4 linked regions of the Notamacropus eugenii genome follow. The protein of the gene in region 1 interacts with the protein of each later gene in a biochemical or structural test. Links are inferred from orthologs where the notes say so. Each region holds a gene or a part of one and is shown in the gene's direction. Other genes may lie near its edges. The genes, in order: PDZK1, SDK2, SLC22A12 and SLC34A1.

Region 1 (7,872 bases):
CTTAGCATAGTCACAAATTTAAAGTTAAGAAAGACCTTTAGTAGGGACCTCCAGTCTTTAGAAATTTTAAAAAAAATATATTTAAATTTATTTCATTATTTTCCAATTACATTTTTAAAAAATGTTAAATATTCATTAAAAATTTTTTTGAGTTCCAGATTCTCTCCCTCCTGCCTGCTCCTCCCCCCCTTTGAGAAGGCAAGAAATATGATATGGATTATATAAATCATATAGTCTTAATTGCCTCATTTTACAGATGAGGAAAAAGCCCTGGTTAGATAACATGACTTGCTCAAGGTCACATGGTTAGAAAGTGACAGAGTTGAGATTTGAACCTTGATTTTCCAACTATCAATTCAAATCTTCTGAGTCAGTGAATGGAGTAATTTTTGGAGCAGGTGATTCTCCAGAATATTTCAAGAGGGAATACCTTGTTCTCTCTCTGGTTCAGGGAGATCAGGCTGAGCAGGATGGTCCATGAAGTTCAAGAAAGGAACAGAACTTTGCCACTGTCTTAACAGATCCTCTTCCTTGGAAGTCATGCTGAAGAAGCTGACACACCCAATGACATTTGCTTTTGCCTTGATGACAAACTTGGTATATGTGTTTGTGTAAAGGAAGAAATGAATAGTCTACCTGAGGTTTGATGCCTTCACTCATTTGGTTCTCATTCACTTCAACATTTTCTTCTAGTATTCTCCTCCCAGCCTCCAATCACCCCAAATCCTCTGTTCTTGCCAAATTGGTCTTCTCTCTCTCTACTGGACCTGTCTCATATTGGACCCATCTCATAGTCTACCCATTCCAAGACTGTTACCAGGCCATTTTTCTCTACTCTGCTCTCTGTAAAACAAAGGTATCATCCTTAAGGAAGTTACCTCATCTCTTTCTTCCTCTGTAAAGTGAGGCACTGAACTCTAAATTGGATGCCACCATGACCTTTCTCCAGGACCCAGCTCAAGTCTAACCTTTTCCATGAAGCCCTTCAGATCTCTCCAGCTGACTCTGACCTTTTCTTTCCTGTAACTTAGAACCATCTTTTTCTGTGCTCTTCCTTTGGCAGTAAGTTACATGTTGCTTTTAGAGATCTCTAGTATTTACTGTATTTCCATTTTGTTGGATGAATGAATGGATTTCTGTTGTTTTTGTGACTTTTCATGCATTTATATCTTGTCTCCTCAACTAGTGTATAAGCTATGTGAGGATACAGAGTGTGTCTTGTATTTCTTTGTGAAGCTAGAGGTGGAGGGAAAGGAGAGAGAAGACGTGTAGCCACAGGAAGAAGATAAATAATAGTATAATACATATTCAGTTGAATTGAAGGTAGTACAGGTATACCTCATTTTATTGGGCTTTGCTTTATTGTATTTGCATTTTTTGCATATTTTATTTTCTTTTTTCTTTTTACAAATTGAAGGCATATGGCAACTCTGCATCGAGCATGTTTATTGGCACCATTTTTCCAATAGCACATACTCACATTGTGTGTCTGTTTCATATTTTGCTAATTCTTGCAGTATTTCAAACTTTATCATTATTATTATTATTATAATATCTGCTATGGTGATCTGCGATCAGTGACCTTTGATGTTACTACTGTAATTGTTTTGGGGCACCACAAACTGTGCGACATCAGATGATGAACTTAATCGATAAACAGGCATGTTCTGACTGTGCCACCAACCTGCGGTTCCCCTGTCTCTCTCCCTCTCCTCGAGACTCACTATTCCCTAAGACACAACAGTTTTGAAGAGTACTGCATAAACTCAGTGGACATAGCAGTGGCAGGGTTTAGGAAGACTGACTCCAATTTTGAAACCAGTTCTACTGGGTAGGGTAAAATGGTGGGTAAAATGGCATCAAACAGCATCTGATGCTTCAGAGAAATCTCTTGTGAAAAAAGGATTCAATGATGCAGCAAACCTCATTGTTGTCTTATTTTTTAAAACTCCCACAGCCACCCCATCCTTCAGCAACCTGGTGCCACCCTTCTCAACCAGCAGATATATCAGCATGGAGGCAAGACCCTCCATCAGCATAAAGATTATGAGCCACTGAGGGCTCAGATGATGGTTAGCATTTTTGAGCAATATTTTTAAATTAAGGTACATTGTTTTTTCAGACATGATACTGTTGCACACTTCATAGACTTCAGCATAGTGTAAACATAACTTTTATATGTATTGGGAAACAAAAAAAATTGTGTGACTTGCTTTATTGCAATAGCGATTTAATCTCAGTGGTCTGGAACCAAACCTGCAATGTCTCTGAGATATGCCTGTATATGATCTGGGCCAACTGGGTAACAGAGTCAAGAAATTGCCCACAGGTGCTCTAAGAGCTCACTGGGTGAAGGGAGGGTACTCAGGAGAGAGTCACTGAGGAAGAGGGACTTGATCTGAGCCCCAGGAATAGACCAGGTGGCATATGGATCAGAAGAGGAAACGTCAAAGAGGGCCAGGTGTGTGTGTGTGTGTGTGTGTGTTGTGTGTGTGTGTGTGTATGCAGTCCACATGAAGGTACACTGTGAGCAGAAAACCCAAAACTGGCTTATATTTAGTTATTCATGTGCTCAGGACCCTTTGCAATAGCTACCACCTATGAGGACAGTACATTGTGTCTTTGTGTGTATGTGTAGGGGGAATGTGTGGAGATGGGGGATGAAGGATTATTAGACCACTGAGTCTCCAGTCTGTGGTTGGGTTCAGTTCTCCTTTTCTTTGCCTTGGGGCAACTTGAGCTACCTCTTACCCTCATTTCTAATCGTGGGCTGGGGGATTCAGGTCATCCAAAACCACTGGTGCCAGCCAACCTGGTTGCGTGGGTGATGTTGATAGAGATCTCTGTTTTGTTCATCACTTTGGCTTGGGCTGGAGGCCAGAGTAACCGGTTGGGCCCACCTGTCTCAAGCCAGCTGTCCTGGGGAGGAGGGTTGGGCAGCTTCTTAATGCTGCATTTGGCCTGTTTCTGCTGCCCTCCTCTAGCCACCTCTGTTTCGGTGTGAGGCTCTCCAACCATTGTGGGGCAGGAGGACAAGGAGGCACCTTGTTAGAAGATAAGTGTGGGAGAGTGCAAGGAAGAAATTGCCCATAGGTGGAAGGTTTCTCTGCAAAAAGAGGCAGGTAAAGAATTCAAGGGCTGTGAGTGGGTGAGAGAGACAGAGACAGACAGATCTGCTAGGGAAGATTGCTGCTGCCCTGACCTTAGCCATGTTGTTTGCTTGGCAGGTAGCACTACAACAGGAGAATAGTCAAGCTTTGGCCTAAATGAGGCTGATATCTGGCTGAAACTGATTTCTCTTCTGCCTCAGGAAGAGAACTAAGGAATGACTTGTCCAAGATCACATAGGTAGTATCCTGGATTTGAATCCAGAAGAGCAAGTGCCTTCTACTTTATCCCTCATCCCAGGTTCTCAGAATCAAGGTGTCTGCTGGTGAGCACTGATCCCCCTTCCTTGAGGACAGAGCAACTCAGGTTTGTTTGAGACTTTGCAGTCCCTCATGGCCCCAGCGCTACAGGCCAGCTGGCAGGGAGGGGGGCATAGGTCATCTCAACTTAGACCACAAGGTCCTGTTAAATAGATCAGCTTTTAAATCAACCTTTGTTCAACCAAAGTCCAGCAGGTTCCTAGTCTAGCACCTGTCAGCAGTGAGAGAATTTCCAGGGTAAAATAAAGAGCTTCAGTCCTGGATACAGGTAAGAAATCCTCTTTCCAATTTCTCAGGATGTGTCTTTGCTAATGTAGCTAGGTTGTCTTCATTTTGACCAGAGAGAAGGCACTGGCTGAACTTCCTTCTTCCTCCCTGCTTTTTCTTTTCCTCAAGTAGATAGCCAGATCTCCAGGGGATAGATAGCCCAGAAAGATGGAAACCCTTTCACCTGCTATTCATCTGGGAAGGGAGGTGAGGAGGCTCCTTAGAAAAGACACACTCTAGTTTTCTATGGTCCCTTGGTCTGGGGCATGAGTTACTGTCTAAGGAACTCACCCTAAGAATCAACTCTTTGTCTTAGCTTTCAAGTCAAGGGAGTAGTCTGTTAACTTCCCCTCCTTAAAAATGGCTGTCCTTTCAGGTTTCCTTTTTCTCTTAGCTACTCGGAAGTAGAAAGGGGTAAAAGTAAGCCATAGATGTGATCTTCTCCATAGAACTGCTGGGAAAACAGCCCTGAAGGAGGAGGTGGGTTTACCTAGGCAGCCAGTGGAACAATGGATAGAGGGGTGGGCCTGGAGGCTAGAAGAGTTAATTCAAGTAGTCTCAGATACTTACTATCTATGTGATCCTAGGTAAATCACTTAACCTCAGTCTGCCTCAGTTTCCTTAACCATAAAATGGGGATAATAATAGCACATATCCCAAAGGGTTGTCGTGATCAAATGAAATAATTTTTATAAAGCACAATGTCTTAATAAATACTTATTTCCCTCCTTCTGACCCAAAGACATTCAGATTAGAGCTCCATGGCTAAGGTGACACAAGGAACTGAGGTGATTATTTGGGTCAAGTGGGGTTTTGACTTGAATTCAATATCTAGAAGTATCCTGATAACTTTGTTTTGCTATAAGCTCCTTCTCTGGAGAATGGGGAATGTAGCTCCTTCCCCTCTTTGGGACAGAGCACTTAAAAACTTTTTTGGATGATTGAGAGTCTTTAGCTGATGTCACCAGGCATTATCCAATAAATTATTCTTTCTCCCTTCTTTATTCTAGGGGAGGTTCTGGAGACGGAGGAGATAAGGGCTTGTAAGGCTGTGGTCCTTCACCAGAAGTTAGAGGGCAATTGGAAACTTGGCTGGTGGGATAATTTGCTTACTCCCCAAGCAGCACTGCCTTGAGCCCCTGGAAACCCTGTGTAGGGTCCTGGCATCATGGGAAGTTGTCATGGGTAAAACAGCCCCCACTCTGAGGTTAGGTAGAGTGAATACAAAGTACGTAGAGACTTGTTTATCCTGTCCTCATGTATCTGGCCTGCCTACTTCTCAAGAACATTTGGCTGTGGAAACATAAAGGGTCTAACCATCTTTCTCTCTCTGTTTCTAAGTTAAGGATTGCCTGTAGCCTTTTGGACTGCCAGTGACTTTCTGTACTTATCTCCCGTGAAATCAGTAGAAACCACTCTGCTCTCAGACTTTTCTCATTTTTTCTATTAATACCCTGTCAGACTCTTAAGTGTTATGGAGATTTTCTTTGTCATGAAATTTTACAGGGTTTTAGCTGAAGTAAGTACTGTTGGGAAATACATGTCCTATGAAACCTTTAACTCTCTGCAATCACCCCTCATTGAAAGTGGTAGGACTGTCACAAAGCAGCTGCTGTGACTTGTTAGTGATAGATTTAAATCCGAAAGAGACCTCAAAGTCCAAGCCCTGTCATTTATGCAAATGAGGGAATGGGGGCCCAAGGAGGTTAAGGGACTTGCTTGTGGTTACATAAGTAATGAGTGATAGAGGCAGAATTTGAAATCTGACTCCAGAGTAGGTTGTCTTTCCATTGTACCACAGTTTTCTACAGAGAAATGCTTAATGCTAAGGGCTCCATGTTTGTTTGGAAGAACACTCATACAATATCCACATCTGCTAAGCCACTACAGGTCCCAAGAATCCCTCAAGGCTTAGGATGCCAAGATACTCACCAAGAAGTCTTGGGGGCTCTGGACTGAGGTTTTTAGTAATTGGTAAATCACCATAAATTGATCAAAGAAAATGATCAGAAACCTCATTGTGTACAATGTTACTTCAGCTAAGTATTGAAACTTGTAAGAACATGAGTTCTTATTCTTTCTAAGGACCAGGTTTGAGCTTGAGGGAGTGGGGAAAGGGGTTTTAAAAGTAAAATGGACCACTTGGTCATTTGGGGCCATTTGAAAAGTTTCTCTGGACTGTCTGTATTTTCTTGTATCTAGAAGATACATGGTCTCAACTGACTTGGTTATTGTATGTTATTTTTCTGGTGAGTGTCTGCTAGAACTATGATAGTGATGAATGGTATTTAGGGGACACTGTTTACTCTTTTAAGCTATGGGGGGAAAAATACTGGTGGTTGTAATATGATGTGGTCCCAAGAAGAAAAGGAATCCTTCCTCATTTATTGACCTCAATAAACTGAGCCAAGAGATCATTTGGAAGATCTCTATCTCAGTGTCCCAAGAGTCATATCTCATCAGTCAGAATTAACTCTGGAGTCAAGTATTCATCCTAGTGACAAATAAATAAGAGACCTTGAGGTTGTTTATTATGCTTGATTAAGTGAATCAGCTCTCTGGATTTCATACATTGTTCCTACCATAAAATACTGGGCAGGGTCTCATCTCTAGTGCAAATTACATAGGCCTGGTGGTAGTCAAAGGTCCCTGATGTTGTTCCAAGGAGCTGTTTCTTACTGTACATGCTCAAGCCTTGGCTGAATAACTCTCTCAGGGATGCTATAGAGAGGAATCTGGTGTTAACTGGGAGGTTGGGCTACATGGCTTCCCACTTACCTTTTAATTCAAGGGATGGGAGGGGTGGGGCAGATAGAGCAAAGAGAAATCTAAGTGAAATACTTATTAATGCCATACTCAAATGCATCTCTTGTCTCTGTGCAAATGTATATCTCCCATGCCTGGAATCCACTCTCTTATCACTTTCCTTCAGAACCCTTATCTTCCTTCGTGGTTCAGCTAAGGTGCCACCTTTTCTGTGAAGGCTTGCTCTGATTTCTCATCCTTGCTCCAAATACCAGTCGCTAGTTCTTTTTACTATCTTCCTCTTCAATTAAATAGTATTACAACCTATATACATGTTGTAGCCCTCCCTTCTCACAGAAAACTGTAAGCTACTTGAGGGCAGAAACTTTTGTATTCCCTTCCTTTGGGTAACCAGCTTTTGGAACAGTTGTTGTTCACTTGTTTCAGTCATGTTTGACTCTTCACAATGCCATTTATTTTTTGGTTTTTTTTGGGCAAAGATATTGGAGTGGTTTGTCATTTCCTTCTCCAGCTCATTTTACAGATGAGAAAACTGAGGCAAATGGGGTTAAGTGACTTGCAAGGGTCATGCAGCTTGTCTGAGGCTAGATTTGAATTCAGGTCTTGATGACTCCAAGCCTGGCACTCCATTCATTGTACCACCTGGTTGCCTCTTGGTATAATTAACTTGCACTTACTATGCACTTCTTATGAGCTTATTGAATTGAATAAATGTCTGGAGGTTTGGTAGAAGACATTTATCATGGCTGAATTTCCTCTCTAGGAGTCTTGAAAATTTCTGATGACACTATAGGGATCGAAGAGGCAGGGCTGTAAGTTATCTGTCCTTTTCCTGAAGGGGAATGATTGGTGTCTGAGTCCATTTGTCCATTTCCCAGTCAGGGTACCCACTTAGGTAGATATGATCATTCTATACCAGCATGTACATGTATAGTATGACTTGAACTGAGAGAAGAGTTAGAATCCCCTCTGCTTTACATTGCTATGGAAGTCTCACCTTCAGACTGAATTGATGGTGGAAAGCTCAGAGGACTGGCACAGGACTTGGATTCCCTTAGAACTTTAAACCTTTCCATAGGAATTACTACCTCAGGTTTATATGATGGGAGATAACAGAGAGTCAGTGCACTTTTAGGGACATTAAGTTTCCCCACCTGTCACCTGAAGATGTTTGCCCAGAAGAGTTCTGAAGTTCCCCTGTTAATATTTGGTGACCCTAGAGGAACTGATTGCTGGGGTGGAAATGAGGGACATCTTGGTGGGAAGTGACCACTCCATCCTAGAGTTTGTGATAGAAGAAAGGAAATCTGGGTATAGTTTGGCAGGTGCTCTAGATTTTAGGAAGGCAGATTTCAGAGGGCACAGAGGAAATATAGGTGGAATCCCAACGACTAAAAATGCTTCAGAGGAA
Region 2 (6,943 bases), about 36 Mb from region 1:
TTCTGGGTATTTTATGGACAGAGGCTTAACTCATTTTTTTAATACCTTATTCCAGAACTGTTTCCTCTGCACTTGCCCTCCTTTCCTCAAATATATAGAAACCACCTATGGAACAACAACTCTATTAGAAGTTAACTGCAGCACAGGAGAAAAGAGTGTTAGATAAGGAATCAGAAAGTCTGAGCTTAATTACTACTGGCTTTGCCACTTGTTACCTATATGACTGGCTGTTGTTGAGTCATTTCAGTTGCTTCTGATTTGCTGTGGCCCCATTTGAGGTTATCTTGGCAAAGATACTTGAGTGGTTTTGCCATTTCTTTTTGCAGCTTGTTTTACAGATGAGGAAACCAAGGCAAACTGGATAAAATGACTTGCTCAGAATCACACAGCTAGGAAGTGTCTGAGTTCAACAATTTAGTATGTTTCTGTTCTTGCTTTATGGGTAGCTAGGTGGTACAGTGGATAGAGCACTAGGCTTGGAATCCAGAACTCACCAGATTCAGAGAGTTCAAATCTGGCCTCAGACATTTCCTAACTGTGTGACCCTGGGCAAGTCACTTCACCCAGTTTACCTCAGTTTCCTCATCTGTAAAATGAGCTACAGAAAGAAATGGCAAAACCATGCCAACATCTTTGCCAAGAAAAAAACCCATTCAGGCACTATTGAACAACAATCAATTTGTTGGAATAATTTCTGGCTTGGTATAACTCTGGCTCTTCTACTTGTGAGTTGGGGGTGCCTTGGATCCTGAAATGAGACATTCTCTCAAGACATCTCCCCAATCTCCAATTAAGTTTTTCTATTCTAGCATCTTATGATGATAAACGTCTGAAAAAGAATGGATGGTTTTGGCGTGTGACACCCAGTGCTTAATGCCTACACTTTCAGATTAAAATCTGTTTCTGGCCCTCCAGCCAATTCTGCTCTAGATCTACTGACCACTGGTTTTTTGTTTGAGGGAGTTAAGGTGTATAAGAATAAAGTCACTGAGGAACTGGGTTGTTTATATGTTTGCCTGTGCAAGTAAAGGTACACTTGCGCCTTTTACTTTTACCTGTGAATTTAGTTGTGATATTTCTATTGCCTCTTCCCTCAGCTGAGACAGAAGCACCTCAAGAATCTGATCCTGTGAGTCACCATCCTGGAACACACCAGGGTAGATATGCTTGGACCATGTCCAACAAACTTCCTTGTTAACATAGAGCCTAACTGTTTCAAGTTCGACTGCTTTGCCAGTTTGTATCTCTGAGCTGGGCTGGGGGAGAAAACGTGGAAGTCAGAGCCCTGAGTGACTAAAAGTAAGGTGGTACAGTGTTTATCTGCCTGTTTTAGGTGGGGGGTGAGGGGGAGAATAGAGGAGTCCCTAGGCCCATCCATGATCTCTCCCTTGCCTACTTTCATCTCATGCAGTTACTAATTGGAGTTGGGCTGGGGTGCTTGCAGCCAGGATGAGGTGTAGGTTTTGATGAGAAGATACCAGATTTGGTCTATGTGAGAAGGCTGCAGGCCTGCAGAGAGGCCAAACTCCTGGGCTCATTACATCAAATGTCCCTGGTTCTCATTCCAGAGTCTTTGAGATTAAAGTAACAAAATGTTCTAGATCAGGAGTTCTTAATGTTTTGGGGTTTTTTTTTGCGTGTGTCATGGACTTCTTTGGCAGTTTGGCAGAGCCTAAGGTTTCCTTCTGATAACAATTCTTTTAAATACGTAAAATAGAGGATTACAAAGAATGCCAATTGCATTGAAAGTTATCAGAAAAAATTATTTTAAGTTCACGGACCCCAGATAAAGAGTCCCTGTTCAATGTGAAGACTAATTTCTCTTTGCTAGCGAAGGCAATAAGAACAGCTCAGTAACTGGGAAGGGACGGAAGGGGGTCCAAAGAAAGAGGGGTAGGACTAGATGGGGTGTCATACTCGGAGGGCAGGAAAGACAAAGAGTTCAGAGACTAGCCGCAGTGTATCTCCAGGCCACGCAGACACACACTGGTCCTTTGATTCGCAACAGAAATAGGCAGACAGAAAACCAGTCCAGGTCCATCAGAGGAACTGCTACAGCGCCATCACCTGTTGAGACTTCCAACCAAGGTAAAGGGGACCTTCTCTCCATCCCGCCCCCCTCCCCCCCCAACCTAGCTCCCGGGCGAGCAAACGCTTTGTGATGACTCAGGGTGGCTCCTTTGCCTTCTCCTGAGCGGGGGGAGGGGGGCGGGGCGCGAGGTGACCGAAGCTCCAATGCCACGTTCTTGCGCCCCTTATGGATCCCAATCTTCTATTTTCCCTGTTCCCTTTCCAAGTGTTTCCAAACCTTTTTTAACGCGCACAGGAGAACTCTGTTCCTGACCCTCCCCTTCGGTTTCCCCTACCCTGTTGGCCTTGGCTTGTCTCCGCCATGCCATTTCTTACCCAGGCATTAAGCCAGACTGGGCGTGTGTGAGGAGGTGGGTCCCCCCCTTAATGGACTAGGACTGAAACTGGGGGAGGGGGGCATGTGAGGGGCCTGAGAAGGGCTCCTGGGAGGGACAGAATGGGAGTGGAGGTGATGTAGCGCTCTCCCTGGACTCGAAGTGCCTACTGCACGAAAGCGGATTCCTGAGACGCGGGGGCTGTGGCATCGGAGATAGATCGTGTCTGTGCGGGGCTCACTCCCGCGCCCCCGGCCCTCCTTCCTCCCCCTCTGTGCGCGCAGGGTTGCTCTCCAGTCGTGGCCACAGGGTAGCGCTCGGCCCCCCTCTCCATCTCTCCCTCCGCCTCCGCCGCGCTCGTCCACGGCTCCGGCTCCCCCCCGCCGCCGCTCCCGGCTCGGCAGAGACTCGAGCCCCAGCTCACATTGCAGCCGAGCCCAGGGAAGAGGAGAGGAGCGGCTGGATAGGACGAGCGGCTCCGCGGCGAGACCGAGCGGCGTTGGCCGGGGCCGCGGCGGTTCGCTGGCCGTGGGGACAAAGGTGCTTCTCCTCTTTCCCGGAGGGCGCGGAGCTGGGGAGAGCTGGCTGAGCGCCTCGCAGACTAGACTGCAGCTTTGCCTTCTTCCCTGGATCTGTCCTCTCGGGCTGGGGCCAGGGACTCCGGAGGAGCCGGGCAGAGCCGGCCGTCTCTCGCGCCGCCAGGCCAGGCGGAGCGCTCAGTTCCCTGGGTGCCGGCCGGAGCGCGCCCCTCAGCCACACCAACTTCCCCCGGCAGCATCGGGGTTGGTGTGGACGTGGTGCAGCCGGAGCTCCGCAGCCGAGCTGCAGGACGTGCAAAGTTTGCTAGCCGGGTAGGCGTGGAGCGGAGAGCTTGGTCCCGGCGGCTTCCTTCGGCATTCCATCCGCGGGTGAATTCTCTGTGCCAAACGGGTTGGGGTGGGGGCGCAGGAAGAAAAGGGAGAGAGTGTGTTAGGTCGAAGCGGTCTCTGCCCGACTTGATGCGTCCTGCAAAGTTAAAGAAAGAGAAGGAAACTTGAAGACTTGGATCGATGTACCAACCTACCCCTAAACCCCGGCACCCCTAAAGTATCACCTTCACTCTCCAGGCCCCCCCTCCCCCCTGCCGCTCCATACTCCTCCAGGCGCTGGGACCTGAGGCCAAACCTTTCAAAGAGCGAGGACTTCGCCTGGAAATCCAAACCAAGGGGCTGGCGGGCGGCAGGCGGAGGGGGCGGGGGGCGGGCAACGTGGCCACCGGAGGAAGTTTCTTAAAGTTGTCCATTTCTCCCGGAGCTGGAGCTGAGGCTGCTACCCTGCCGGGGAGCCGCCGTGGTAGCACTGCCTTTTGGGGGAGAAGGGGACTGGAAAGGAAGTGCTCAATACCAGTGAGGGAGTAGGGGGCGGCTAGCCCTCCCGGCCCAGTCCAACCCCTTGTTGCTCTTTGTCTTCTGGGAGATTGAGCTCGGAAGAGACAAGGGGGACATCCGTTCTACCCCTTGTCTCGAGTACACGGTCCCGAGAACTGGGGCCCCTAATTGATTCACCGTGGGAAGAAGCCGCGGGGTGTCGGACCCCACAAGGATTATAAAACGTAAAGAGGTGAAGTAGGGAAGCCCGGAGGGGCACCTCGACGTCCCGAAACCATGCGAGGACCCCTGCTGTGCACCCTGCTGGTCCTGCTGCGGATCCGTGCTGCCGGAGCCCAAGGTAAGAAGGCACGTGTGGTTTGGGGGACCCCGCGATGGATTTAGCGGCCGTCGCAGAATCCACCCCCGGGCTTTCTGGGACTGGACTAGGAGTCCCTTTTTTGGGTTGAGATCTTTCTGGGGCGCCTTTAATAGAGGCAGATAAGGAGATCAGAGAGCTAACATAAACTGAGGTGGAGAGAAGAGCCGCTATCTCTGAATTCAACTGGACTGGGGTTGGGGGCTGAGGGGAAGCTGAGGGATCGTGAGGCTCCCCGCTCCCGTATCTTCCCCCTCCCCACCCCACCTCCCCAGCCCCAGTTCGTGGTGTAGTTCTTCAAGACTGGAGTTCACCCATTCTGTAGAAATGCCTAGCTGGGGCAGAAGGGGCGAGTTTATGCCTCTAACCTGATCAGAGCCTTCTTCCAGCTCTGCTCCCTGGGGCTGGGAGAACTGGGAGAGCTGGGATCTCCGTCCTCAAGAGCTGTGTCTTCCTACCCTGTCAGACTGGGCAGGGGAAAACAACCTGTGAACAGCTCTACGACCTCCGGAGCCGGGCAGTGGAGGGGAGGGAGGCATGAAATGGGGGTGCGTCGGTCAGGTTCATTATATCAAAAGTCTGCCTCTTCCTCCATACTGCGAGTGTGATCCTTGTACGTACATACCCCCACCCCTTCTCATCGTCTTAGTGTATATTGGCTGAATCCACAGTGTTTGATCTCGGTATGCACAATAGCTCTCTGTAGCTATATGTATGTACTGATGCCTGCAGCCACAACTAGTTAGGGGTCTCTGAAAAACCTTTTCCCCACACCCACCATGACATCCTCCCCTCACCCTTCTTGCACTGTCTCCTGAGTTGCATTGGCCTTAATGTATATAGACATCAACTGATCAACAAGTATTTATTAATTACTTCCTATGTACTAGACACATTAATTTATGGGGGGGGGGGAGATGAGAAGTTTTGTCCTTGGTGTGTACCCATGACAGAGGAAGCTCTCAGACTACTCCTGATCTTCCAGGAGAAATGGGATGGGTGGGTGTGTCTGGTTTGGTGGAGGGTGTGTCAGTCGGGGATTACACTTAATGTGCCTCCTTTCTCTCCTTCCTAAAAGAGATTGTGTGTTTGAGGTGAACCTAGGAATACCTGAAGGGCATAAAGAGAAAATAAAGTAAACAAAGAAAGAAAAAGACAAAAAAGGCAGGAACCCTTAGGTCCTTGTTGCTTGACCTTGGGAGAAAGTATAAAGTACTGTGTGGGTTAAGGCCCAGCAGTAAGTATTTTGAACAAAAGGTAACTGGATACCTCCTTTGTATCAGGCAAATCCCTATTAGAGCCCATGTCTCTTCTCCAGGGAGGAAACTGTGGATCCTAGGCCAAGGGAGAGAGGGTAGTAAGTTAATGATATTGTCCAAGGAGATCTAGGAATATAGTAAGAGTTGATGACATAGAATCCTTCTTTCTCCCCCAGCCCTAGAATGAGAAGGGATTAAATGGGAGGGGGGAACTGGACATTTGTTCCCTCTTAGAGACTTCAATTACAGTCTTTAAAAACAAAACCAACTCTTGCCAAGAGTGAGTTGAGTGGCCTGGAGGATAGAAGATGATTGCTGGGAGGTGGAGATGGGGAGGAAGGAATGGGGGTGGGATGGGTGAGTGGGGGCTTAATTATGCTCTGTTTTGTTTTGCCTCCTGACTGCTGCTTTCAATACTGCTGCTTACCACTAGGCAAGGCACTGGAACGGACACTTCCCACAATCACCCCTGTGTGTTTCTTTGTTGCTCAGTTGTTTCTGACTCTCTGTTACTCCATTTAGGGTTTTTATGGGAAAGATATAGGAGTAGCCTGTCATTTCTTTCTCCAGTTCATTTTACAGATGAGGAAACTGAGGCAAACAGGGTTAAGTGACTTGCTCAGAGTCACATACCTAGTAGGGGTCTGAGGTCAGAATTGTACTCAGAAATATGAGTCTTCCTGATTCTCAGCCTGGCACTCTCCACTGTGCCACTTACCTGCTCTTGTGTTTCTACTAAGACTATAGGTGTCACCACACTCAGGTCTTTAAATGTTAGTGCTGGGAGGGACCTTTGAGATCATCTGATCTAACCTCCTCATTGGACAAGAAAGAAATTCCTTTCCAGAGAAGGGGAAGTTACTTGTCCAGGGTCTCCTAGCTCTCATTGATTGGCCTATGGTAGGTCCCAGGCCAAGCCCTACTTGGTCATCGTTTGAGCCCTCATCAGTTCAGAAAGAATACAAATAACAGTTGTTTCTGTTTTGGCCAAAAACCTGAGGGTCTTTTCTCAAATAATTTTTTTTAAAGAGGCCATTCTTTGCCTTATTTTTTTATTAATCTTTAATCACTGAATGAGTGCTGCCTCAGTTAAACTGAGGCCTGTTAAAGACCTTAGCTTGAAAATGCCCAGATCCTCCACGCATTGCATCCTAGGCCATCTCCAGTTGTCCATATCTGCCCACCAGACCCAGATGGAGTTGAAAGTGAGAAGCTATTTAGTGGCAGAATTAGAATAGAAACCAGACTTTCAGATGAGGAGTTCTAGTCTTTGTACCACCATACTGCTTTGTTGGTGTTGTTCAGTTGTTTCCCACTCTCTGTGACCCCATTTGGGGTTTTCTTGGCAAAGACACAGGAGGGGCTTGACATTTCCTTTTCTAGCTCATTTTACAGATGAGGAAACTGAAGCAAACTGGGTTAAGTCATTAGCCCAGAGTCACACCATTGGAAAGTGTCTGAGGTCAGATTTGAACTCAGGAACATGAGTCTTTCTGACTCTAGACCACACACTCTTATTTACTCTGCTACCCAGCTGCCTATACCACAATGCTT
Region 3 (7,137 bases), about 290 Mb from region 1:
AATGAATAGAGTGTAGACTGGCTTTTATGATACCAAGTTGTTAATAAATTGTTTTCCTTACCCTAGCACAGCCGGATTGTTAAATGGGTAAAAGGACATTCTGGGGTTGGGGAAAGGCAGTTACCTTGGGGCAGATATAGATAGGAATTGAATATGGAAACAATGAAATTTTTGGCCAGCCTAAAGTAGCTCAACCACACTAGATAAAGCTCACTACAATGTTTGAGGCAGAGTAGGAGTTTACTAAATGCTTGTTGACCCACCAAAGATGGCCTTCTGCTCGGCTTCTCTTAATCCCCACCCCAAGTACTGGGGACATGCTGGCAAGGTTCTATGTCAATGACATATGCCTTCATGCTCCTGCCCCATGTTGATCAGGAATCAACATGCCTCACCATACTGCAGGACTTGAGAAAAAAAGAGGCTGGTCCATGGCTTAAAGGGCTTCAGGATAGCTTATCACCCAAAGTCCTACTGTGTGCAGTCTTCTTAACTGTCTCAGAAACAAACGTTCCCTTTAAAAATCACTTGATGCTGAGACTTCATAAAGAGCCAGCCTTATTGCCCTCTCTGTATCCCTCACTCTCAACCTTTTCTACTCCTTCATCAAATGTTTGTTAGATGATTGAGTGAATGTATCTTTATCCTTTCCACCTAATTCCTGCAATGTTCACAGTGAAAGAAATATGTGCAGGAGCTAGTCATGGTCCCTCCCCCCCAATAACCTAATGTTATGGATGTGGCAAGAAAGGGAAAGATGTATGTGTGTTTGTGTAATGGAACAAATTGAACCAGAAGGAATGGGTTTTACCAGCATAGTCCAGTATTTCAAGTCACTTGGAAGGTCTCTTTGTTCATCTAATTACAGGATTTATTGTATTTATTGTGTACTGATTAAGCAGACAAAGGAAAGTGAGGATACACGTACCCAGATATCAGACCCCTGGAGGCCCAATGTCAGTTCTGGTTCTGAGAACTTGCCCAGAACATGATCTGCTGAGTCCAAGGGGCACACAGAATGTTAAAGGATCCAAAGTCTTACCCTCAGGAGAACAAAGGGATCTGGAGCCCTTCAAAAATGCATCAGTCTGGGGTAAACAAAGCCTAGTCACTCCTGAGTGCATCAATCATGAGTAATTCAGATAAGGATAGATACAAGGGTTGGCCCAATCCCTTTGGTATCACGGCAATGTTCAATGGACTCACCAGGCTTTTCAGATATCTTCATCTATGTGTTTCTCCTCTTTCCTCTTGGGAAGGGAGCCAGTGTGACTAGACTACATCAAAGTCAAGACTGGTTGAATAATGAGAAAATGCCCTAATTGTCATGGGCAGCATTAGGAGAGGAATGAACCATGACACTGAGGGAATCGAGCCTGGTTTGGTGTCCTCGTTAAACAGTAGCATCCCAGACTTTCTCCAGGATGCTGAGTCACTGAGCAATAAGGAATTTTCTCTAACTCCTTTTCCTCTGGCTCTTAAAAAATGGAGAAGTCAACTATTCCCATAGGGCCTTGGGCATCGAAGAAATTGTTAAAATTGGATAATTCAGCTCAATAAGCATTTATCCAACTAGATTCCATCCAACCTAGAGACCTAGCCTGAAGACCTTGCTCTACAAAATGTGGCTGAAGGAACTGAGGAGAAGAGAATTCGACTGGAGAAGAGAAGATTCAGGGGAAACTGGAAAGCTGTTTTCAATTATCTGAAAGAATTAGACATGACCCCAGAGGCCAGATCCAGGAGCAATGGGAACTTGTTAAAAATTTAGGTTCTCTGAAAGAACGTTTTCTCCCCAGCAATTTAAGCTCCCTCAAAGTGGAATGGATGACTCCAGGGAGAGCATGGGGACTTCACTTGGCTGATTAGGGTCTTCACAATGGATGGTTACTTGTTGGGAATCTCATAGGAGGGATTATATTGAGGCTCAGGTCCCATCTCTGTGCCCAGGCCTGGAATGATCCCCTTCCTCACCTCTGCCTCTTAAGAATCACTGGCTTTCTTCAAGGCTCAGCTCCACCTATGATAGCCTTATATCTATATCTTTCTATGTGTTCACATGGTCTCCCCAGTTCCACTGTCAGATCCTTAGAGGCAGAGAGTTTCTGATACAATCTATGGGATAAGACTTACAGAATTGTTGAGTGAAACAGGTAACGAATGTTAGGCAGTGTAATACAATGGAAAGAGCTCTGGACTTGGAAGGTCACTGGGATTTTAAAGTCTTAGCCCCCCTTTTATTTGCTTAGCTATATGACCCTGGGTAAGTCACTGCCCTTTTCTGGGTCTCAGTTTTCTCATCCATCAAAAGGGAATAATAACACATGTACTATGAGCCTCACAGTGTCCTTGTGAGAACTGGATGAAAGACTGTGTATATAAAGTGCTTTGTGGAGGAAAGTGATATATCAAGGAAGGCTGCCTGGAGGCGAAAACTGGAACATGCAGTGAGTGTGACCTCTGGCCACCTCCCACAGTGTCCCATATCTGACTCCATGCCCAGAGCACTGAACCAAGGGATTGCCTTTACGGAGTTGTATTTCAGGAAAGTCCCAGCCTGGCTTCCCTTCCCTCCTCGCTCTCTGGTCACCTCCTCTACAACCTCCTGACTGGCATCTCACCTCCATCCTGCATGCCCTTTCCTTCTCCCATCCTCTGAAGTCCTAGGATCATGAACCACTATCCAAACACCGGCATTGTTTCTGGATGGGATGTGTCAATCTACTCATCTATGGAGGTCTCTCACCCTGTAACTTCCTGGATCAAACTTTCTCATCCCTAGCCAGCAGTGACCTATGTGTATGATTTTCCCTGTTAGAATGTGAGATCCTTGAGGGCGAGAATTATCTTTGTATCCTTATAGGTGTATCTCTAGCCCATAACACAGTGCTCAGCACGTAGTACTGAGCACATAGCACATAGTAGGTACTTAAATGAATTTTCATCCATTCAGTCAGAAGGCAACATCCTATAAACGACTCTCATATCTGTCCTTTTTTTTTCTATTCATAGCCACCTCCCTAGTTAAGACCTTCAGCACCTCCACATCCCCCTTCCTAATTGGTCTCTCTGCCCGAAGGCTCTCCCCGTCTCCAATCCATCCTCCACAGTTGATGTTCTTAAGGTACAGGTTGAATCATGTCATTCCCTTGTTCAAAAACTGTCCAGTTCTGACTCTGGGCTTTAGGGTAAAATATTTCTGTGTGGTAATTAAAATCCTTCACAGTCTGACTTTCTTTCTAGACATTCAGCATACTTCCTTGATGTTGATATTCTGTCTAGCTTAGTGGAGTGGCTAGAGGGTGGGTTAAATCCTGCCTCAGAAACTGACTTGTTGCTTGCCTGTGCCTCAGTTTCCTCATCTGTAAAATGGGGGTGATAATCACACCTACCTTGAACAGTTGTTGTATTAGTTGAGTTAACCTATGTACAGTGCTTCTTAAAACAAAAAGCAGCCCTACTTCATGAATACAAAGTGTTTTTGCACAGCTTGGTTCATTCAGGGGTCTTATTGTCTCCAAGGAAGAAAACTGAGGCTGAGAGATGGCATGTTACATGGTAAACAGCAGAGCTGTGATTTGTTGAATCATAGGAATTAGAACTATATAGAGAAGATCTAATCCAAGGCCCCTTCACTTGGGTTCTTCAGAAGGTCCATAGACTTGGGTAGGAAAGAAATGCCATCTTTATTTTCACCATTAGCCTTTCCCTCAGTTATTTAAAACCATGATTTTGAGAAGCTACAGGGGTTCATGACACACAAAAAATGCTAAGAACCTCATTTGTACTCTGTGAGAAAATTGAGGCCCAGTTGGGAAAACTGACTTGCCCAAGGTGTCACAAATAGTCTTAAGGACCAGGATTCAAAGCCAGATCTTCAGTTTCCAAGTTCTAGTCTTTTTTCCATAGCACCAAAAGCAAGATAAGAAGAAATGGACTTTAATTGCATCAAGAGGGATTGGGGCTAGACAGTAAAAAAGAACTCTGAGACCCCAAGGGTCATGAGATCCAGGATCAGATTACGGAAGACCGTTCTGGATGGTCATGGCCTTCAGGTAGACGCCCATCTCCCAGCTCACTAGTAGGTGTGGGTGAAATACTCATTTACATCATGGCCTGTGCCAGGGTTAGTTAACCCCAAGGTTAACTGTTCCACCAGTGTAATTTAGTAACAGGGCGATCTGGGACACGGAGGCAGTTTGGCAAAATCTCTTCTTGGATCTTAGCTTTCCCACGGCTTCTAAAGTTCAGCACTTCTTCCAGATTGGCCCTCTCTTGGTTTGAGCCAGAAACTCCCAGAGGAGTCTCTCAGAGAAGGGCCCAGGGAGCACCTGACCCAACTAAACAGAACTTCTGGGAGAGTCCTGATCCCCTCCCTGGAAGAGCTTCCCCACACCAGGTGAAGTCCAGGTTCAACTCAAGGTTGGTATGTGGTGGCTGTGAGTGTTTGTATTGGGAGGGAATAGGGTCCAAGTCAATATCAATCAATGATAGCTTGGTGAGATTTAGGACTGGTCATCTAGTCTCTCCCCCTTCTTTTACAGGTTACACAGATAGTGAGGGGCAGAGCTAAGATGAGGACTCAGAGCCTCTGACCCTGCCTCCAGAGCTCTTTCTATTGGCTGCACCACCTTTGCTTCTTGGGGCTGGTGTCTACCCGAGCTCACCTCACTTTGGGCCCTCATGGCCTTTGCAGAGCTCCTGGAATATGTTGGCAGCTCGGGAAGGTTTCAGATCTCTCAAGTCATCTCTCTAGTCTTGGCTGTCATATGTGTCACCCCTCACAATCTGCTGGACAACTTCACAGCAGCTATTCCTGACCATCGCTGCCGGCTGCCCTTTCTTGACAATGCCACTGCCTTCCCAAACATCACCAGAGGCCTGGGTCCCAATGCCCTCCTGAGGGTCTTCATTCCCCTGGACAAACACCAGAAGCTGGAGAGATGCCGTCGCTACCTGCACCCACAGTGGCAGCTTCTGGAACTCAATGCATCAGTCCCTAATGCAAGCGAGGCAGATACAGAACCTTGCTTGAATGGATGGATCTATGACCACAGTGAATTCACTTCTACCATTGTGTCTGAGGTCAGGGGCTCCCTCTTTCTTAGTCCTCTCTCCCTTCCCCATTTCCATGTGTAGCTCTCTGGAGTGTTGCCTAACATTCGCATAGCTGAGTATATTCCAAATGGCTTGTTTAGGACTGAAAACATTTCCTTCCCATCACATTCCTCCTGATTCCTTCTACTCTCTGTATAGAGGGCCTTGGTTTTGATCACTAGCACTGCTGCTAATGATCTGTGTGAGCTTGGGGATGCACTTCCCTTGCTGGGGCTCAGTTTCCAAGTATGTGAGATGAGATGGTCCCTCCTAGCTGACATCCCTGGTATTCCATGTTCCAAGTCCTCTCCCAGTTGCGACAGTCTGTGAAGTAGCTTCTCTCAACCTCTGCTGTTCGTTTCCCTTCTTCTATAGTGGGATATGGTGTGTGACTGGGAGTTCCTGAAGCCCATGGCTCAGTCCATATTCATGGTTGGCATCGTGATTGGAGCTGCTGTATGTGGCCCTGTCTCTGACAGGTGAGTGTTTTCTGATTTAAGCTGCTCTCACTCCTCTAGTTCCATACAGATCCCTCAGAACCTGGGAACAGAGATGTTGGGGGACCCCTGCCCATCTGGCTCTGTGCCATGGCATTTTTGTCTCACCGAATTGCCCTAGATTCACTTCCTGTATCACAGGTTTGGGCGGAAGCTGGTATTGAGCTATTGTTACCTGCAGCTGGCCATCACTGGTTCCTGTTCTGCATTTGTCCCCAACTTCTCCCTTTACTGCTGCCTGCGTTTCTTATCAGCCTTTGCTGTGGCTGGCATCATGATGAACACTGCGATACTCAGTAAGTATGGTGCCATGGACCTGTCCCAAGCCCTCAGACCAAGACTGTATAACCAGTGAAGTTAGGTTGGCATCCTTCTCACCCCTCAGGGCACAGTTCAAATGCCACCTCTTCTGCAGATTTCTCTCAGATCTGTACCCCCTCTCCAGCTAGAAGCTAACTTTCCACCTAGTCTCATTTACACCCTCGTACACGTAGATGTTCTAATTTATCACTTTTCTGTGTCTGTGTGTCTCATCTTCCCTACTAAACTGTAGTCAACTTGAAGGCAGGGATCATATCTAGTTTAATTTCTCTCAATATCTAGACAAGGCCAAGCATATAGTAGGTCCTTAATAAGTGTTGAATTACTGAAAGACAAAAAGGATGCTTGCATGATGAATGCATGCAAGACTGAATGGATGAATTTATAGACAGATGGATTGCATGCTGCTGAACAGTACAGGAGAAAGGCATTCATTTGCATTGATGATATTTATCACAAATTTATGAGATATAATTTCAACTGGGTCTTCACTGCGGCATGGCAATCTTTTTATTTTTGTATGATTGACTCTCTTTCCTACTTTCCATGGATACTCTTCCAAACCCTTCCCTGTCTCCCCTCTTGTCCTTTCCACCTCCTCTTGACAGAGAACCTTGATTTTTATTCTACTGAGAAAATAGAAACCATCTGTCTTTAGCTTTCTCTCCTCTCCCATTCCATATCTCAAAGCCCCTCTTTTCCTTTCCTTTGCCCTAGTTTGTGATGAAGAAGTGACCCTTTACTCTGACAAAACTAAACTCTCCACTTGGACTCTTTATTCCATCTCCTTTCATCTCATCTAGGACCTTGACTCCTCAATCATTCTTTTCTTCCTCTCATCTTTAATCTATCCTTATCTACTGACTTCTCCACACTTAATGTGCCCATACTTTCCTTATTCTTAAAAGATCTTACTATTCTTGGACTCTGCCATCTCCTCCAGTTATCATCCAATATTCTCCTCCCTTTCACTCCAAGAAAGGGTTGTCTTCTCTTGATTTCTGTTTTCTCCTTTCCCACTCCCTTCAGCTCTTTGCAGTACAGCCTATGACCCCACCAAGGTCTCCCAGTGCATTCTGGGCTACCTTCAGTCATCCTGAGGAATATCAGGTCATTGAATTCAGATGACTCTGGTGGAGAAGTGAGGTTGGTGACCTGCACAGACCTCCTTCACTCAAAACAAAGTCAAGTGCAGGTCATATCATCATTTCTGTGATGGCAT
Region 4 (6,960 bases), on another chromosome or scaffold:
ATCTCTGATTAAAGAAAAATACTTGGAGACAACCAGTTATCCTTTCTCCCCTAAGTCTTTCCTTCTTCCAGATAAACATTCCCAATGCCTTCCATAGAACAGTGTCTCTGGTTCTTTTATAATTCTGGTTACTCACCCCTGAGTACTTACTAGTTGTCGATGTCCTTCTTAAAATGTGAAGTTCACCTATGCCCAAAGGGCTATAAAACATACTGGTACTAGGTCTATAGCCCAAAGAGGTGGTAAAAAAGGGAAAAGGACCCACATGTACAAAAATATTTATAGCAGCTCTTCTTGTGGTGGCAAAGAATTGGAAATTGAGAAATGGCTAAACACATTATGGTATATGGATGTAATGGAATACTATTGTTCTATAAGAAATGATGAGCAGCAGATTTCAGAAAAACCTGGAAAGACTTATATGAACTGAAGCTGAGTGAAGTGAGCAGAACCAGGAGAACACTGTACAAAGCAACAGCAACATTGTGCGATGACCAATTTTGAAAGACTTAGCTCTTCTCAGCAATGCAATGATCTATGACAATTCCAAAAACTCATGATGAAAATGGTATCCACATCCTAAGAAAGAACTATGGAGTCTGAACGCTGATCAATACATACTATTTTCCCTTGATGTTTTATTTCTCATAGTTTTCCCTTTTGTTCTGATTCTTCTTTTGCAACATGACTGATGTGGAAATTTGTTTAACGTGATTGTACATGCATAGCCTGTATCAGATTGTACACCATCTTGAGGAGAGGGAGGGGAAACATTTGGAACTCAAAATCTTATATAAATAAATGTTGAAGACCAAAAATAAATAAATAAATAAATGATGTGAAGTTCACATTTGTGTTCTAAATATTTTTCTAGCTCCCACATGCTGCCATTAGAATTTATATTCTAAAAGTGGTCAAAAGATATGAGCAGTTCTCCAAAAGATACTCACAAATTATTAGTAATTGTATGAAAGTTTGTGCCAAATTGTTAATAATAAGAGACTAGTAAATCAAAATATTTTTGAGCTTTCACTTTACACCTAGTAAAGTGGTAAAAAAGGACAAAAAATGGAAATAGTCAATATTGAAGGGGCTGTGGAAAGAAAGGCACACTGATATACTATTTGTGAAGGTGTATAGTGGTCCAGTCATTCTGAAAAGCAATTCAGAATTATGCAAAGAAAATAATTAAAATGTCCATATCTTTTGAACCAGATTTCATTACTGGGTTTATATCCCAAGGAAACTAGGAAATCAAGAAAATAAGAAGAAAATTCCTACATATTATAAAATATTTATATCAGCTTTTTTTGTGATAGTTAAGAATTGGAACAAAGTAGATGCCCATCAATTGGGGAATGGATAAACAAATTGTGGTACATGAATATAACAAAATATAACTGTGATATAAGAAATCATGTGGATGAGAAGTATGGAGAAGCATGTAAAGATGTATATGAACTGATGCAAAGTGAAGTAAGCAGAGCCAAGAAAACAATATACACAGTGACTACAACAATGAAAATGAAAAGAATGGCATGCCAAAAATAAAAAATAAATGTAGCAAAATTATAAAAATCAAATAAGACTCAAATGAAGAGAGATGAGGAAACACCTCCAAACCACACTTTTGTGGAGCTGATAGGTCCATATATATTACACACTGCACATGTTTTTGGACTTTTTCAATGTATTGATCAGTTTTACTAATTTTTTCCTTTCTAAAAAATATTATTTGTCTTATGGGATAGTTCTCTTGGAGGGGGAGAAGGAAACATACTTGGGATAACTACTGTAATGTAAGAAATAGAAACTATCAATTAAAAACTTATTTAAAAGAAAGAAAATTACTGATGTCTATACCTTTTGAATCAGAGATCCCAGTGTAGACATATAATCTAAAGAGGCCAAAGTGAAAAAGAAAAGTCCCATTTGTTGATTGTGATATCTATGGCAGCACTTTTTGTGTTAGGAGAAAGAAATAGAAACAAAATGGATATCCATTGATCTGGGAATGATCCAGGGGTGGGGAACCTGCAGCCTCAAGGCCACATGTGGCCTTCTAGGTTCTTGGGTGCAGCCTTTTGACTGAGTCCAAGTTTTATAAAACAAATTCTTTTATTAAAGGGATTTGTTCTGTAAAGTTTGAATTTAGTCAAAGGGCCACACTTGAGGACCTAGAGGGCCACATGTGGCCTCAAGACTGCAAGTTTCCGCAGCCCTGCAACATATTATGGTATTTGAACATGATAGAATATTACCTTGTTGCAAGAACTCAAAAGTGTAAACAAATAAGAGAAGAATAGGAAAACTTATATGAACTGATGCAAAATAAAGCAAGCAGAATCAGAAAAAGAACACACACAATGAGTACCACAATGTAAATGGAAAGAACAACTATTAAAAAAAAAACAAACCTGAACCTGTATAATGACCAAACTTAGGCAAACAAAAGAGATAAGAAAATGTACTTCCCTCCCCTTGTTGCTGGTGAGGAATTATAGAGATGAAATATTGTACATACCATCAAACACGATTGATGTGTTATTTAATTTCAATGAATTGCTTTTTCTTTCCTTTTAAAAATCTTTGTTACAAAGGACCGTTTGCTGCGTGATGGGGAGGGATATATTTAGAATAAAATATGATATAAAAACAAAAAACATCAATAAAAAATAAGAGATTTTTTTTAAAAATTCTGTGTTCAAAGGTTCCTTTCACATTCAACACTCTGAGTTCCATGATCCCCTACCCACAATTCCTGCTATAAACCTAAGCATCATGCTCACAGTACAATTATTTGTATCCCTAGACTCCACCTCAGTAAGACACCTATCCCTAGTCTTATTGCTGGCCTTTAACCTGTCCATTTTCCTGATCCTCTCTCTCATTATCCTTTGTCCTTGGGTAAAGTGGTTCTGTGTTTATGCCCTAATTCAGGCCTGCACAACATTTGGCCCACAGGCTGCTTCCCATGCATCGCTTGCAGATTGCGAAAAAATCTTGGGTGGCCTGTGAAAAATATAAAGGACGTAAAACAGGTCTATACGTATCTGCAGATAGCTTTGTTGGGCATCAAGAGGCCCACAGGCTTTATGTTGTGCAGTTCTGCCCCAAATGGTCCTCAGGCCACAGAACCTCTGGTCTATCAGAGGACAAGAGTGGGTTTGGCCAAGATCACAGACACAAACCCATATAGTCCAGATTTCCCATCCCTCTAGATTAACCCTATCTGCCTCCAAAAATCCATCCATCTAAAAATCCTAATTCTCATCCCAGGACTAAGTGTCAGGTTGTGGAAGTGGGAAGCTTCTCAAGTAGAGACTGTGTCACCATTACATATAGACACACCCACAAATGCAGGCTCATAGACACACATACACACAATTGGTGCTTAGAACAGCACATAGAACAGCACATAACATAGTAGGTGCTTAATAAATGTTCATTGACTGACAGAAATAGATTCATAAAAATAGATTCATAAAAAGACACACACAAACACATATATACCTGCAAAAGAGATACATGCATAAACGCACAGACAAGGGAGAGTTCATTTGGAGAATTCCTTGGAGAAAAGGAGAATGATAGGAGAAAGTGGGGGGGAGCCCACAGGAGCTAAGTGGGGGAAGGGTAAGAGGTGTGAGCTGGAGGGTACTGAAACTGGGGACTCTCAAAGGGAGGAGTGTCCTCAATGTGTGGGGTTCCAGTAACAGAAGACTATAGGCCTGGGGAGAGTTACTATCTAGGCAGTTCTGATCATGCAGGGGAGTGGGAAAACTGCCCAGAAAGAACCCAGGGGTGGACACCTCCATAGACAAAGACTCCTCCTGACGATTAGCAATTAACTGGGAGGAATTTCAGGGGAGGAGATTAATTAGGTAACTGTAGAAGGTGGCTGGGGTCCTGAGGGACTTTGATCTTGACCTGAGACTATAAAGGTCTCAGTCCCCACAAAACATTCCTACTTTGGCCACAAGGATTTTCACACTCAACTTTCTAGAGTCATAACCCAAGAGTCAAAGCCAGCCTCTGGGCAATCAGGTGAGTGACTGAGGAAGCTGCAGCCTAGGCTGGCTTTCAACTCTCACCCCTTCCAAGTCCCCAGACTCAGGCAACCTTGGCCCCACTCCTCACCTTTGCCCCTTCATCCCACTCTGTGGTCCTCTAGCCTTGATTTCCCAGTCTTTTAAAATCCTGATACCCTTTCACTTCAGCACCCTGACTCCTGACTCTCAGTCCCAGACAACCAGGACTCCCACATTACTTCATTCCCCACCATAGTCCCAAAGTCCATCAATCCCCAACCCTTTTATTCCAGCCCCAAGAGGCCTCCTGCCCCAGCTCCCAGCAAGTGTGTATCGGGTAGGGTTGGGGGTCAGGGAGCACACCGAGGAGAAGAAGGATATGGGGGTTGTGGAGAGGCAGGAATCTCCACTGGGAAGGAAGAATCTGAAAGTTGGAATATCTGGTCCTAGGGATCTCTCTGGTGTCTGTACCCAGGATGATACCTTACAGAGAGAGACACATGGGCCCTGCCCTATCCCCACTGCCAGCTGCCAGTCCTTGCTGTGTGATCCGAGGTGCAGCCTTTGCCTATACCCCCAGTCCTCAGGGTAAGAACAGAATACCCCCAAACCCAGTCTTCCCGCTTTGATAGGGGCTCCATCTATGGGGGTGCGGGGAGGAATTCTGAGGGTCCCAGGCCATAGATCTTGCCTTACTCTGAGCACCTCTCATTGGACCAAGGAGTCTCCTCCGAGGGCCTGCCACTAGCAGGCTGCACAGAGGCAGCATGCTGTTTTTCCATTGTCCCCTCCCCACTTAAATTCCACTTCCCCACAACCTAGGGCCCCAACTGGCAGCAGAGTCACTCAGCTATCTGTATTTCTCCCTAGTTCTACATCAGATTCCTGGAGCCCCAGCCTATGCCTTCCCCACCATCGGGCCGGGGGGCCTTTCTGAGTGTGGCTGTCTGTGTGGAGAGACCCTGGAACACTATGAGCCTGACCCACTGCCCCCCAAATTGACCCTGGAGGATACACAGAAGTCAGGTGCAAGGATGTGAAGGGGATGGAAATTGGGCTCCCTCCCCAGGTAGGGAGTGAGGAAGACAGATGGCCAGGCTGGCCCTCTGGATAGAAATGAGGGAGGAGACCTATATCATTGGGGTCAGTAGGAAAGAACCCTGTTATAGAGGTGGGCCCCAGAGAAGTGGATCCAAAATAAGGGGCCTGTGGAAGGACCTGGGCCACATGGAAGAGTTGGTAGGGGAGGAGAAGAGCAGGAGGGGAGGGACTCACCCTGGGACTGTGTCTCCCCAGAACCAGGGCCATCCCAGAGGCTCCCTTCGGCCTGTATCACTCTCCTCAAGGTTCCCATGATGCTTGTCTCCCTCTACCTCTTTGTCTGTTCCTTAGATGTGCTCAGCTCAGCCTTCCAGCTTGCTGGAGGTATGTAAAAGAGGAAGGGGAGGGCAGGCAGGGTTGGAAGGGAGGTCTAGGAACCATCATGGGACTGGGAACTGGACTTCAGGGACACTGGGCCAAGAGATTCAGAGCCTCTGGCTCAGAGTACCAGGATATGGACTGGGCCTCAGTGGACACTGGGCCATCTTCCGGCCAGGAAGGTTTGGGAGGCTGAGGGGACTGAGAACAGATGGCAGGTCTCTGATGCTGGCAATTGTCTTCAAGGGCCTTAACCCCAACACTTTCTCCCTTTTTTCTGCCCCCCCCTCCAGGGAAGGTAGCTGGTGACATCTTCAAGGACAACGCTATCCTGTCCAATCCTGTGGCGGGGCTGGTGGTGGGGATTCTAGTGACTGTCCTTGTGCAGAGCTCAAGCACATCCACGTCCATCATAGTCAGCATGGTCTCCTCAGGCTGTGAGTCTTGGGAGGAGAGTTAGGGCCTGTGGGTAATGGGGAGTGAGCCGGGGCACTGGGGCACTGGGGCACTGGGCAGGGAAGAAATAGAAGAGTCAGTATGAAGAATGTGGCCTCCACCTTCACTGACATGGTCACCTTCCAGGGATCCCAGCTCCCCCTCCAGAGCCTTGACTTTTTCTGGTTTCCAGATCATTCACCTTGACTCAAGGCACTGAGCCTTCCAGAGCTGCCTGTCCCCTGAACCTGCTCACCCCCCCAACCTCAGAGATGTATGACCCTTGATCTCTGATTTCTCCCCTTGCTCCCTTTCTCCTCTCATTGACATTGAACATCTGAGTCTGGGATCTGGCCCTCTTTTCCTTCTTTGTTCCCAGAAGAGAGCATTTTCTTTTTTAAAAAATTAATTTATTTGTTTTCAGTTTTCTATAATCACTTCCATAAGTCTTAGGTTTCCTCCCCCTCTCTCCTCCCTCCTTTTCCCCTCCCTCCCCAAGAGGGAATGCAATTTTATATGGGTTCTACAAATACATTCTTTTAAAACACATTTTCACATTAGTCATGTTGCATAGAAGAATTAAAAAGAATGGGAGAAACCATGAGAAAAACCAAACCAAAACAAAACCTAAGAGAAAATGGTCTGCTCCATTCTGCCTTCCAGTTCTACAGTTCTTTCTCTGGATGTGGATGGCATTTTGCAAGAGGGTATTTTAGGTTAAAAAAAAACCCCAAAACCTTTTATTGAAATAGTTTGTTTTTATTTTACCTTAATCTTCCAATATGTCCCTCATCTACCTACTCTATCCAAAGAGCCATAACTTTTAACAAAGAATAAAAAAAAGGAAAAGAAAAAAGCAGCTCAGCAGAGCTAACCAACATATTAACTAAATCTGACAGTATATCCAGTGTTCCACAACTGCATCCTCCCACCTCTGCAAAGAAAAAAAGAAAATAGAATATTTTCTAAAGTTTATGTAGAGGAGTAAACTAATCTATAGGGAAGCTTGGTGGTACAGTAGAGAGAGTGCTGGGTCTAGAGTTAGGAAAACTCATCTTCCTGAAGTCAAATCAGG

Evidence for each region.
Region 2: the proteins of PDZK1 (region 1) and SDK2 interact in a test that uses a peptide from one of them, tested with the Homo sapiens proteins (2 studies listed by IntAct, with this or other methods). The link is inferred for Notamacropus eugenii from reciprocal best matches to the Homo sapiens genes PDZK1 and SDK2.
Region 3: the proteins of PDZK1 (region 1) and SLC22A12 form a complex in vitro, tested with the Homo sapiens proteins (2 studies listed by BioGRID and IntAct, with this or other methods). The link is inferred for Notamacropus eugenii from reciprocal best matches to the Homo sapiens genes PDZK1 and SLC22A12.
Region 4: the proteins of PDZK1 (region 1) and SLC34A1 form a complex in vitro, tested with the Homo sapiens proteins (2 studies listed by BioGRID and IntAct, with this or other methods). The link is inferred for Notamacropus eugenii from reciprocal best matches to the Homo sapiens genes PDZK1 and SLC34A1.

The regions. Positions count from the first base shown.
Region 1 is NC_092873.1:303,013,165-303,021,036, reverse strand, and holds the start of PDZK1 (Na(+)/H(+) exchange regulatory cofactor NHE-RF3), read left to right. Parts: upstream 1-4,855; 5' UTR 4,856-4,876; coding exon 4,877-4,880; intron 4,881-7,872. UniProt on the Homo sapiens protein: A scaffold protein that connects plasma membrane proteins and regulatory components, regulating their surface expression in epithelial cells apical domains.
Region 2 is NC_092873.1:338,819,985-338,826,927, reverse strand, and holds the start of SDK2 (protein sidekick-2), read left to right. Parts: upstream 1-3,934; 5' UTR 3,935-4,048; coding exon 4,049-4,112; intron 4,113-6,943.
Region 3 is NC_092873.1:17,299,141-17,306,277, forward strand, and holds the start of SLC22A12 (solute carrier family 22 member 12), read left to right. Parts: upstream 1-4,124; 5' UTR 4,125-4,399; exon of another isoform or gene 4,400-4,426; intron 4,427-4,544; 5' UTR 4,545-4,683; coding exon 4,684-5,085; intron 5,086-5,472; coding exon 5,473-5,576; intron 5,577-5,735; coding exon 5,736-5,890; intron 5,891-7,137. UniProt on the Homo sapiens protein: Electroneutral antiporter that translocates urate across the apical membrane of proximal tubular cells in exchange for monovalent organic or inorganic anions. Involved in renal reabsorption of urate and helps maintaining blood levels of uric acid.
Region 4 is NC_092872.1:414,518,515-414,525,474, reverse strand, and holds the start of SLC34A1 (sodium-dependent phosphate transport protein 2A), read left to right. Parts: upstream 1-3,942; 5' UTR 3,943-4,047; intron 4,048-4,481; 5' UTR 4,482-4,507; coding exon 4,508-4,619; intron 4,620-4,901; coding exon 4,902-5,057; intron 5,058-5,327; coding exon 5,328-5,456; intron 5,457-5,743; coding exon 5,744-5,887; intron 5,888-6,960.